3 linked regions of the Xenopus tropicalis genome follow. The protein of the gene in region 1 interacts with the protein of each later gene in a pairwise test. Links are inferred from orthologs where the notes say so. Each region holds a gene or a part of one and is shown on either strand. Other genes may lie near its edges.

Region 1 (2,346 bases):
AGGGAGAGATGGTGCCTATAGTAGCAGTGGGATAATAGCCTATGGGAAGGGACTGGGGCTGTGGGATAGCAGGTATAGTAGGGAGAGATGGTGCCTATAGTAGCAGTGGGATAATAGCCTCTGGGAAGGGACTGGGGCTGTGGGATAGCAGGTATAGTAGGGAGAGATGGTGCCTATAGTAGCAGTGGGGGGGATAATAGCCTCTGGGAAGGGACTGGGGCTGTGGGATAGCAGGTATAGTAGGGAGAGATGGTGCCTATAGTAGCAGTGGGGGGTATAATAGCCTCTGGGAAGGGACTGGGCTGTGGGATAGCAGGTATAGTAGGGAGAGATGGTGCCTATAGTAGCAGTGGGGGGATAATAGCCTCTGGGAAGGGACTGGGGCTGTGGGATAGCAGGTATAGTAGGGAGAGATGGTGCCTATAGTAGCAGTGGGATAATAGCCCTCTGGGAAGGGACTGGGGCTGTGGGATAGCAGGTATAGTAGGGAGAGATGGTGCCTATAGTAGCAGTGGGATAATAGCCTCTGGGAAGGGACTGGGGCTGTGGGATAGCAGGTATAGTAGGGAGAGATGGTGCCTATAGTAGCAGTGGGATAATAGCCTCTGGGAAGGGACTGGGGCTGTGGGATAGCAGGTATAGTAGGGAGAGATGGTGCCTATAGTAGCAGTGGGGGGATAATAGCCTCTGGGAAGGGACTGGGGCTGTGGGATAGCAGGTATAGTAGGGAGAGATGGTGCCTATAGTAGCAGTGGGGGATAATAGCCTCTGGGAAGGGACTGGGGCTGTGGGATAGCAGGTATAGTAGGGAGAGATGGTGCCTATAGTAGCAGTGGGGGGGATAATAGCCTCTGGGAAGGGACTGGGGCTGTGGGATAGCAGGTATAGTAGGGAGAGATGGTGTCTATAGTAGCAGTGGGGGGATAATAGCCTCTGGGAAGGGACTGGGGCTGTGGGATAGCAGGTATAGTAGGGAGAGATGGTGCCTATAGTAGCAGTGGGATAATAGCCTCTGGGAAGGGACTGGGGCTGTGGGATAGCAGGTATAGTAGGGAGAGATGGTGCCTATAGTAGCAGTGGGGGGATAATAGCCTCTGGGAAGGGACTGGGGCTGTGGGATAGCAGGTCTAGTAGGGAGAGATGGTGCCTATAGTAGCAGTGGGAATAGTAGACCAGTAGGAAACTTTGCTCCATGTATTATGACCCCCTGTAACTCCCCCCTGTACCCCCATAGGATGGGCAGAATAGTGGGGACCCCGGGGAGTACAACCTGCGCTCTCGCACCATCGTTTGCACCAGCTGTGGGCGCCCGGCTGAGAAGGGGGTTCTAGGCTCCCAGGGTTCTGGTTTGGCCACGGCCTCGACCGGTTCCTCATCCTCCAGCGTCACCCTGACCCGGACCTACCGCAGCACCGGGGGAACCAGCGGGGGCAGTGCCCTCGGGGAGAGTCTGGTCACCAGGACCTACATTGTCGGGAACGACAGCCAGCGTGCCCAGGTGGGTAACAGTCGGGGGTATCTGGAACAGAACCTGCAGAACCTCCAGAACTCTGGTGTAAAGGCCAATTAATAATAATAATAATAATAAGGCTGCACGTCTCCATTTGCCCACTAGGTGGCAGTAGCTGCATACACTAAATCCCTGTGATTGTATTCACCTAATGCAATGCTGTCTCTCTGTCGCCACCTACAGGTCACCCCGCAGAGCTGCAGCATAATGTAATCCGCTGCCCGACGCCGCCGTCACCAAGTGCCCAAGTGCCCGAGCGAAACAGAGAGATTTTGGTTTTTTTATGAAAATTTTGTTTTTATTTTATACTGCGAGAATTTTATAAAGAAAAAAAAAATGCACATTTTTTTAAAGGCAACATTTACCTGTATCTGCAGAAACCAAAGTTAATTCTGATCTGCCCCCCCCCCCACATATAATGGATGGTTCTGGGGTGCAGAGGGACTGGGGCATTACTAATACTGGGGGGGCAATTGTTGCACTAAAGCCCCTATATACTCCCTTCTGGCTCGGGAAGCGCTGCCACTTCCCACAGGGAATTCTGGGATTTGTAGTTCAGACAGTCTGGGGGGAGGGGGGCGAATGCCTCTGTTTGATGCCAAAGACGTAAATTGATTCAGTTTTCTAATAGAGCAGAACCAACGGTGCAGGGAGTTGTATTTGGTTTGTTGCAGTTGCCCCTCAGTGGGGTAGTTACTGTAGGAAGTATTTCTGAGTGACCACTAGCTGTTTGCACCACTGGGGTTTTATTCTTTGCTGGGTGGGGGGCAATGTCCAGGGGGTAGGGGCAATATCTAGGGGGTGGGGGGCAATATCCAGGGGGTAGGGGCTATATC
Region 2 (4,214 bases), on another chromosome or scaffold:
ATGTTGGCAGCTAAGTAGAATGGGACACTATGATTTCTGATACCAGCACTGAGTTGAAGTTTAAATAGGGTAACTCAGCAACAATCTACAGGGAACCAAACTACATCTACATTTACACACAGTGGCAGTAACATACAAAGCCACATGTGCCTCGATCTTGGTTGAATAAGGCCTTGGCTTCGAGGAGCCTGAGGCTACCTCACATTTCACCCCCCCATGTTAATCCGATCCTGACTGGCTATGTATGGATATGTATGACAGCTGATGGATTTACAGAACTGACTATAATAACCAACGCCTGCTGTTTTTCAAATGATGCAGAGAGAATTCCTTACTCATGTGCCTGGGGGTCTCGCTGCATTCCTCCAACGCTTGTCTCATACACATTCCCACGCAGCTCCCAGTCACTTGCACCAACACACACTCTATGGCTCCTGGCACAAGGGGGGGCGCTGCTGCCAGATGGCAGGGGCCTATGAATGGGCTGATTATATTTATATTATATAAATGGAAGGCTTACTCTAGCTTATAAATATATACACACACTGCATTTGGCTGGTAATATGCCAGCAGCTAACAAATGCCCCTCCCAGAAGAATAATTACACACAGGACTAATGCCACAGTCCAGCTGTCTCATCCCTGCCAGGCAGCGGCCAGCTGTCTCACAAAAGCTGGTAAAAGCAGAGCATGCTGGGAAGTCATCCAAAGCAGGGATAGTGGGTGCAGGGCAATGACTCCTGGCAGGGGTGGGAGAAAGTGCCAAAGAGCCGGTGGGCACTGTTTGTATTGCCCATCTGGTTGCACAGATGGCAGTTTGATTTGAAGACTGTAGTTGGAAAACCCTTGGGGGGTAGCAGGTTGTTTCCCCTGCATTAAAGGACAAGTAAAGGCATAGGGCTATTTTGCAGCTTCTCACATGGCTTTATTTGCCCTATAAATCACCCACAGCCTTATTATCTTGTGATCATTTATCAGACAGCGGCCACTGTATATCACCTTCCTCTACACAGAGATCCTCCTTTATATTATTATTTCCGTGTGTGGGAGCTGCCATACCTACCCCCCTGCAAAGGCAAAACAAGGGACCAGTAGACGCCCCACAAGCAACGGCGCCCTCTAGTGGTCACATTATCACCGCAGTTTTTTTGTAATCAAAGTATCAGTTAGAGAAGGGGGAAATGAGAGAGAAAGAGAGAACTGCCCCCCCCAGATGTTGGCTGTTTATTTGCCCCCCCATTAGGGCACAAAGTGGTTGTCAGGCCAATTCACTGTCCCTGGGTCTGTAGCCCTGTCCCTTCCCCGCTCCTAGCGTCCCTCTGCCCCCCCCCCCCCTCCCCGCTGCAGTTGGGGTATGGCTGAGCCTGCGGTGATGTAGGAAGGAATGCGCCCCCCCCGCCCCTTCCATCCCTCCATTCCCTCTGCGCGTCAGTGGGATGTGTTGTCTCTCCCGGGCTGCTCCATCCCCCCTGCCAACCTGCAGTCTCCGTGCCCTGGCAGTGCCCTGTGCCACCTTCCTCCCTCCGAGCCGCTCTCCGTGATGTGACTGTTCCTCCCCCCCCCCGCATCTCTCAGCCTGGTCCTCCCCCTCCTCCCCTGTCTCCGCAGTGCTCAGAGCAGCCATGAACCCCTTACTAACCCCCAACCTGCTCCTGCTCCCCTCTGATGCCCCCCTGCAGCCGGCGGAGAGCCCCACATCTCCCCCCCAGGGCTCCCTGCTGCTGGGGGGCCCCTATGCTCCCACCGGGGGGGCCAGCGCTTTACGCAATGACTTTGGCTCCAACATCAATGTCCTGAAGACCCTGAACCTCCGGTTCCGCTGCTTTCTGGCCAAGGTGCATGAGCTGGAACGGAGGAACCGCTCCCTGGAGAGGGCGCTGGAGAGGGCCCAGGGGGCCGGCCCCATAACCCGGGAGCAGGCGGTACAGACCGGCTTTGTGGGGCCCATCTTGCCTCCGCCATTATTGGGGCTCACTCGGCCCTGCCCGGCGCCTCCCCCCCAGCCCTGGGTGTATGGGGCCCACAGGCTGGGCACCCGGTGTGATGTGGCCACGGTCAGCGGAGCCTATTGGGGTCACTCAGACGGAGTTGGGGTTCAGATTGACACCATCACCCCAGAGATCCGGGCTCTCTATAATGTGCTGGGCAAGGTGAAGCGGGAGCGGGACGCCTACAAGCAGAGGTAGGACATATACACACTATATACAGTATATATACAGCTGCCAGCTGGGGATATTGGCCTGCCACTTAGCTACAGATGTTGCTGAACTAAAGCTGCCACTAGGCCTGGGGCACAGGGGAACTTTCTAGGATTAAAGGGGAACTAAACTTTGATATATTGTGTTGTGTACCCAATGCAGAATGGTGCATTTCTGCTGCCCTATCTCTAAGGCTTCATTAACTGCCCCTAGACATTAACTGCCCCTAGACCCCAATGGAACCTGTGTGGGAGCTGCCCTATCTCTAAGATGCCATTAGGCTTCATTAACTGCCCCTATACCCCAATGACACCTGTGTGGGAGCTGCCCTATCTCTAAGATGCCATTAGGCTTCATTAACTGCCCCTATACCCCAATGACACCTGTGTGGGAGCTGCCCTATCTCTAAGATGCCATTAGGCTTCATTAACTGCCCCTATACCCCAATGACACCTGTGTGGGAGCTGCCCTATCTCTAAGATGCCATTAGGCTTCATTAACTGCCCCTAGACCCCAATGATACCTGTTTGGGAGCTGCCCTATCTCTAAGGCTTCATTAACTAACCCCTAGACATTAACTGCCCCTAGACCCCAATGATACCTGTGTGGGAGCTGCCCTATCTCTAAGCTGCCATTAGGCTTCATTAATTGCCCCTAGACCCCAATGACACCTGTGTGGGAGCTGCCCTATCTCTAAGATGCCATTAGGCTTCATTAACTGCCCCTATACCCCAATGACACCTGTGTGGGAGCTGCCCTATCTCTAAGATGCCATTAGGCTTCATTAACTGCCCCTATACCCCAATGACACCTGTGTGGGAGCTGCCCTATCTCTAAGATGCCATTAGGCTTCATTAACTGCCCCTATACCCCAATGACACCTGTGTGGGAGCTGCCCTATCTCTAAGATGCCATTAGGCTTCATTAACTGCCCCTAGACCCCAATGATACCTGTTTGGGAGCTGCCCTATCTCTAAGGCTTCATTAACTAACCCCTAGACATTAACTGCCCCTAGACCCCAATGATACCTGTGTGGGAGCTGCCCTATCTCTAAGCTGCCATTAGGCTTCATTAATTGCCCCTAGACCCCAATGACACCTGTGTGGGAGCTGCCCTATCTCTAAGATGCCATTAGGCTTCATTAACTGCCCCTATACCCCAATGACACCTGTGTGGGAGCTGCCCTATCTCTAAGATGCCATTAGGCTTCATTAACTGCCCCTATACCCCAATGATACCTGTGTGGGAGCTGCCCTACTGACATGATGGTGGGACTCTCTAACCTCACTATGTTAGTGGAGCTCAGATCCAGACTACAAACAAACATGAAGATGGTCCCACAGTGCACTTGGCACTAAATATACAAAAATGATGATGAGGATGAGTAACAAAAAGCTTTACAAAGTAATGGGACAGGCCGGCAACAAGAACAGAAGCCCAAGTGGATCTCTTGGTCTCTATTTAAATGGCACCCCATGGGGCATACAGGTATGGGACCTGTTATCCAGAATGCTCGGGACCTGGGGTATTTCAGATAAGGGATTTGGATCTCCATAACTTAAGTCTGCTAAAAATTATTTAAATATTAAATAAACCCAATAGCTTTGTTTTGCCCCCAATAAGGGGTAATTATATCTTAGTTGGGATCAAGTACAGGTACTGTTTTATTATTACAGAGAAAAGGGAATCATTTAACCATTAAATAAACCCAATAGGGCTGTTCTGCCCCCAATAAGGGGTAATTATATCTTAGTTGGGATCAAGTACAGGTACTGTTTTATTATTACAGAGAAAAGGGAATCATTTAACCATTAAATAAACCCAATAGGGCTGTTCTGCCCCCAATAAGGGGTAATTATATCTTAGTTGGGATCAAGTACAGGTACTGTTTTATTATTACAGAGAAAAGGGAATCATTTAACCATTAAATAAACCCAATAGGGCTGTTCTGCCCCCAATAAGGGGTAATTATATCTTGGTTGGGATCAAGTACAGGTACTGTTTTATTATTACAGA
Region 3 (4,162 bases), on another chromosome or scaffold:
TTATGCTTTGTATAAAACGGCGAGAAAATTCGCCACACATCGGCAGGCTTCGCTGTGTAGAAACAGCGTAAAAATGGTGGTAATTTTTTACGCGTTTTTTCTTCCCCTGGAACTTATGGAAAATAACGGCGTAATATCCGGCGTTCAGGCGGCGATCTTTTCCATTTATATTACACAGCTTTTTATATAAATATATATAAATATGCCCCTTAGTGTGATTTAGGGGGGCAGCTAAAGCCACTCAAAAATAAGTTCTCATTTCTGTAGGAGTATTTCCCGTGTCAGTGTTAATAACCCCCATATGTAAACAACCAAACACACCAAAGCACAAAGTTCACCCATATCCAGTCACCCACAGCAACTCAGCCATGCCTTTACACACCTGACCAGTCATGCTCCCTGCTGAGCCTATAAGCGATTAGACAGTAGCAGACCGGTCCCATACGTTTAAAAATGGCTTAAGGTGGCCATACACGAACAGATCCGCTCGCTTGGCGATGTCGCCAAGCGAGCGGATCTTCACCCGATATCCCCAACTACAGGTGGGCGATATCGGGGAGAATTTAGGTAAAAAAAAGAATAATCCGATCGTTTGGCCCTGGGGTCTGGGGGGATTATGTGGGCTGCAATGGGGCATCAACGAGCCGATGCGGTCCCCGATCCGACCGGATTTTCTAACCTGGCCGATCAAGATCTGGCCAATTTCAGGTCAGATATCGGTCGGCCAGGCCGCTCTGCTCTCCCCATACATGGGCCGATTAGCTGCCGAATCGGTCCAAGGGACCAATATCGGCAGCTATAGTCGGCCCATGTATGGGGACCATAAGACAAGACCCTAAACCAGGGATCCCCAAGCTTTCTTACCCATGAGCCACAGTCAAATGTAAAAAGACTTGGGGAGCAACACAAGCACCATAAAAGTTCATGGAGTTGCCAAATAAGGGCTGTGATTGGCTATTAGGGGCCTCTATGCACACTATCAGCTTACAGGGGCTTTATTTGGTAGGAAATCTTGTTTTTATTCAACCAAAACTTGCCCCCAAGTCAGGAATTCAAAAATAACTCCCTGGTTTGGGGGCACTGAGAGCAACATCCAAAGGGTTGGGGAGCAACATGTTGCCCCTGAGCCACTGGTTGGGGATCACTGCCCTAAACAATAGGTGACACCATAATTTAAAACAAACTATCGCACAGTTGTCAGAAGCAACAAATGAGAGGCAGTACTGCGTTACGGGTTAACAACATCACGTGATCAGCCGACTCCGCCCCCTCCGCCTCAGGTGATGAGGCTGATTAACGTCAGACGGGGCGTGGCTGCGCAGTGCGGCTCCGTCTCCCGGACAGACTAAAAGCTGCTGCTGTCGCCATGTCCGAGAACAATAACAACAACGGGGAGGAGGCCGCGCTGCACGGTAAGAAGCACATTGTGTAACTAGGACCTCGTTTCGATTCCAGCGCCCGTCAATTGGGTCGAACGGCGAGAATTTGAACGAGCTCAGGACAATGTTTGGGTGCGAAGCTTAGGCGGGATCCCATGATGGGCAGCTGTGGGAGCCAATCGATAATGAGTGTAGGCGGGACTGGAACTTGGAATGACGGATGCGGTCCAATGGGAGATTTAGGTGTAGGTAAGGGCGGAGCTTACATGGACTAGACTAGAGGGAGAAGCGGCGCTGCATTGTTGTTGTGGGTTACTGTACTTTATTCATATCAAAGAGCTTGATAGTGTGATGGTTTCGCTATTAGTGCTTCATACATGTGCCCAGTCATGTGGCTGCCAGTGCCGAGGCACACTTACACGGGTGGGTGTGTGGGAATGATGACGTGTGTGTTTATGTACGGGCCAGCCTATAGCTTCATGTACACTCACTGTCATCGCCAAACACTTGCCATCTGTTATTTACTTTAAATATATGTTACTATGTATCTTTCAGATCATGTTTAATATATATTTCTAATACACAGGAGCCTTGGCTGTTCTGTACCTTGTATCCTTAGAAATGCTCCTTAATGATGTCATCTTTCACATGACTTGCTGAAATGTGTTTATTATAAGAAATAATATACCCCCTGTTGTCAAATATAAGGATATTAGAAGTCACCTCTGCCTCATTCACTTCTAATATGCTGTATTTTGTTGCCCCACAAGTCTTTTTATATTTGAATGTGGCTCAAAGGCCGGTAAGTTTGGGGACCTCAGCCTTAGACTGATGACTAAAGGTGGCCATACAAGCGAGCGGATCTCCCAAATTTGGTGAATTTAGGCTAATTTGGTCGTTTGGCCCTGGGGCCAAACAATCGAATTAGAGCGCCGGTAATAGGCACAGTTGGTTCGGGGACCGCATCAACGAGCCGATGTGGTCCCCGATCCTACTAAATTTTTTAACCTGCCCAATTTCAGGCCAGATATCGGTCGGGCAGGCCTGTTGTTAGGGCCACTACACAGGCCAATAAGGTACAAAATCGCTCTAAGGGGCCGATATCGGCAGCTGCAATCAGCCCGTGTATGGCCACCTTTAGAGAGGTATGTGTGTGTGTGTTTTATAATGCATACAATTGCATGGTAGCAAGACTTTTGGCATGTTGTTAGTCATGTAATCCTTTGGACACTCCCGGCCAAGAGACGGCATGCCAGGGCTAGCCCTATGAAAAATATTCCAAATAAGACATTTTACTGTAGCACTCTGTATTATGACTGCCTAATTGCAGGAGAGTGAGATTATAATAAATCTGGTAGTCATAGCCAGTGATATTGGTTTATATTGGGACAATGTTGGTGTTATACATGTACAGGTATGGGACCTGTTATCCAGAATGCTCTGGACCTGAGGTTTTCTGGATAAGGGATCTTTCAGTAATTTGGATCTCCATAACTTGTCTGCTAAAAATCATTTAAATATTAAATAAACCCAATAGGCTTGTTTTGCCCCCAATAAGGATTAATTATATCTTAGTTGGGATCAAGTACAGGTACTGTTTTATTATTACAGAGAAAAGGGAATCATTTAACCATTAAATAAATCCAATAGGGCTGTTCTGCCCCCAATAAGGGGTAATTATATCTTAGTTGGGATCAAGAACAAGGTTCTGTTTTATTATTATTATAGAAAAAAAGGAATCATTTTTAAATGTCAGAATTATTTGCTTATAATGGAGTCTATGGGAGACGGCCTTTCCGATAATGGGTTTCCGGATAAGGAAAGCCATACCTGTACCTGGCAGTTCATTGTTTTCTCTAGCTAGCCCAGGTTCTGTTTATTTGTTTTTTATATGGTTATGTAACATGGCCAAACGTGTGTCAGTCACTACATCATCTTTAGGGAAAAATATATACTATTTCTATGAATCCATTCACTGCAGCTGTAATGTCCCATAACTGTTTTTCTTTCTGAATTTAAGCTTCATCTTATTGGTAATAGAAAGTAGTCGTTTAGGAGAAAGTTTTGGTCTCATGAAATGAGGCTTCTGTTGCATTTATGCCTTTGTGATAGTTCCCCTTTCAGGCTTCTCTTTGTTATGTTTACATGCCTAACTGTCAGAGGAAGCATTTGAATATGTATTGCGCTGTGTTTGCCAGAAATCTGGTGATGTTGATGTTGGACGCTGAGACAGCGGGGTAGGTGTGTGGCATATGTTTCATTGTAGCTGCACCTTTGGGGACACTATCATAAGATCATAAGTGTTTACACCGTTCGAGTAACCCATAGTAACCAACCAAGTGGTTTTGAGTTTAAAGTGGGTGGCTAGTAAATACTACTTATTGATTTCTGTGGGTTTCTAGACCTTCATTGCTTGTGAGGAATGGTCAGACAATACCTAAGTGACCCACACTTTCACTGTGAAGTTCTTATTTACCTTACAGCACTTATATTCTCCTATTTGTGTCTGTAAGTTACCCTCCCATTTAGACTGTAAGCTCTGCGGGGCAGGGACCTCCATCCTCTTGTCTTTTTGATTTATTACAACTGTACCTTGTATTTATTGTTCTTTGTATTTATCGATTATTATTTTAATAACCCCCCTGTTGCATTAATCTATTGTTCTACTGTACAGTGCTGGGTACATAAGTAGCACTTCAGAAATAAAGATATAGATACATATTGACCCGCCATTTGCCTATGGGGTGATTGGATCATGATCACACTGGGTTGGTGTGTGTGAC

Evidence for each region. The genes of interacting proteins can lie anywhere in the genome.
Region 2: the proteins of lmna (region 1) and iffo1 interact in binary tests that used the Homo sapiens proteins (3 or more experiments, as listed by UniProt). The link is inferred for Xenopus tropicalis from reciprocal best matches to the Homo sapiens genes LMNA and IFFO1.
Region 3: the proteins of lmna (region 1) and bnip3l interact in a two-hybrid assay, tested with the Homo sapiens proteins (2 studies listed by BioGRID and IntAct). The link is inferred for Xenopus tropicalis from reciprocal best matches to the Homo sapiens genes LMNA and BNIP3L.

Annotation. Positions count from the first base shown.
Region 1 is NC_030684.2:142,913,666-142,916,011, reverse strand, and holds the end of lmna (lamin), read left to right. Parts: intron 1-1,234; coding exon 1,235-1,498; intron 1,499-1,693; coding exon 1,694-1,723; 3' UTR 1,724-1,836; downstream 1,837-2,346.
Region 2 is NC_030683.2:10,038,210-10,042,423, reverse strand, and holds the start of iffo1 (intermediate filament family orphan 1), read left to right. Parts: upstream 1-1,410; 5' UTR 1,411-1,621; coding exon 1,622-2,181; intron 2,182-4,214. UniProt on the Homo sapiens protein: Nuclear matrix protein involved in the immobilization of broken DNA ends and the suppression of chromosome translocation during DNA double-strand breaks (DSBs).
Region 3 is NC_030679.2:127,988,477-127,992,638, forward strand, and holds the start of bnip3l (BCL2/adenovirus E1B 19 kDa protein-interacting protein 3-like), read left to right. Parts: upstream 1-1,358; 5' UTR 1,359-1,366; coding exon 1,367-1,412; intron 1,413-1,453; exon of another isoform or gene 1,454-1,534; coding exon of another isoform or gene 1,535-1,628; intron 1,629-4,162.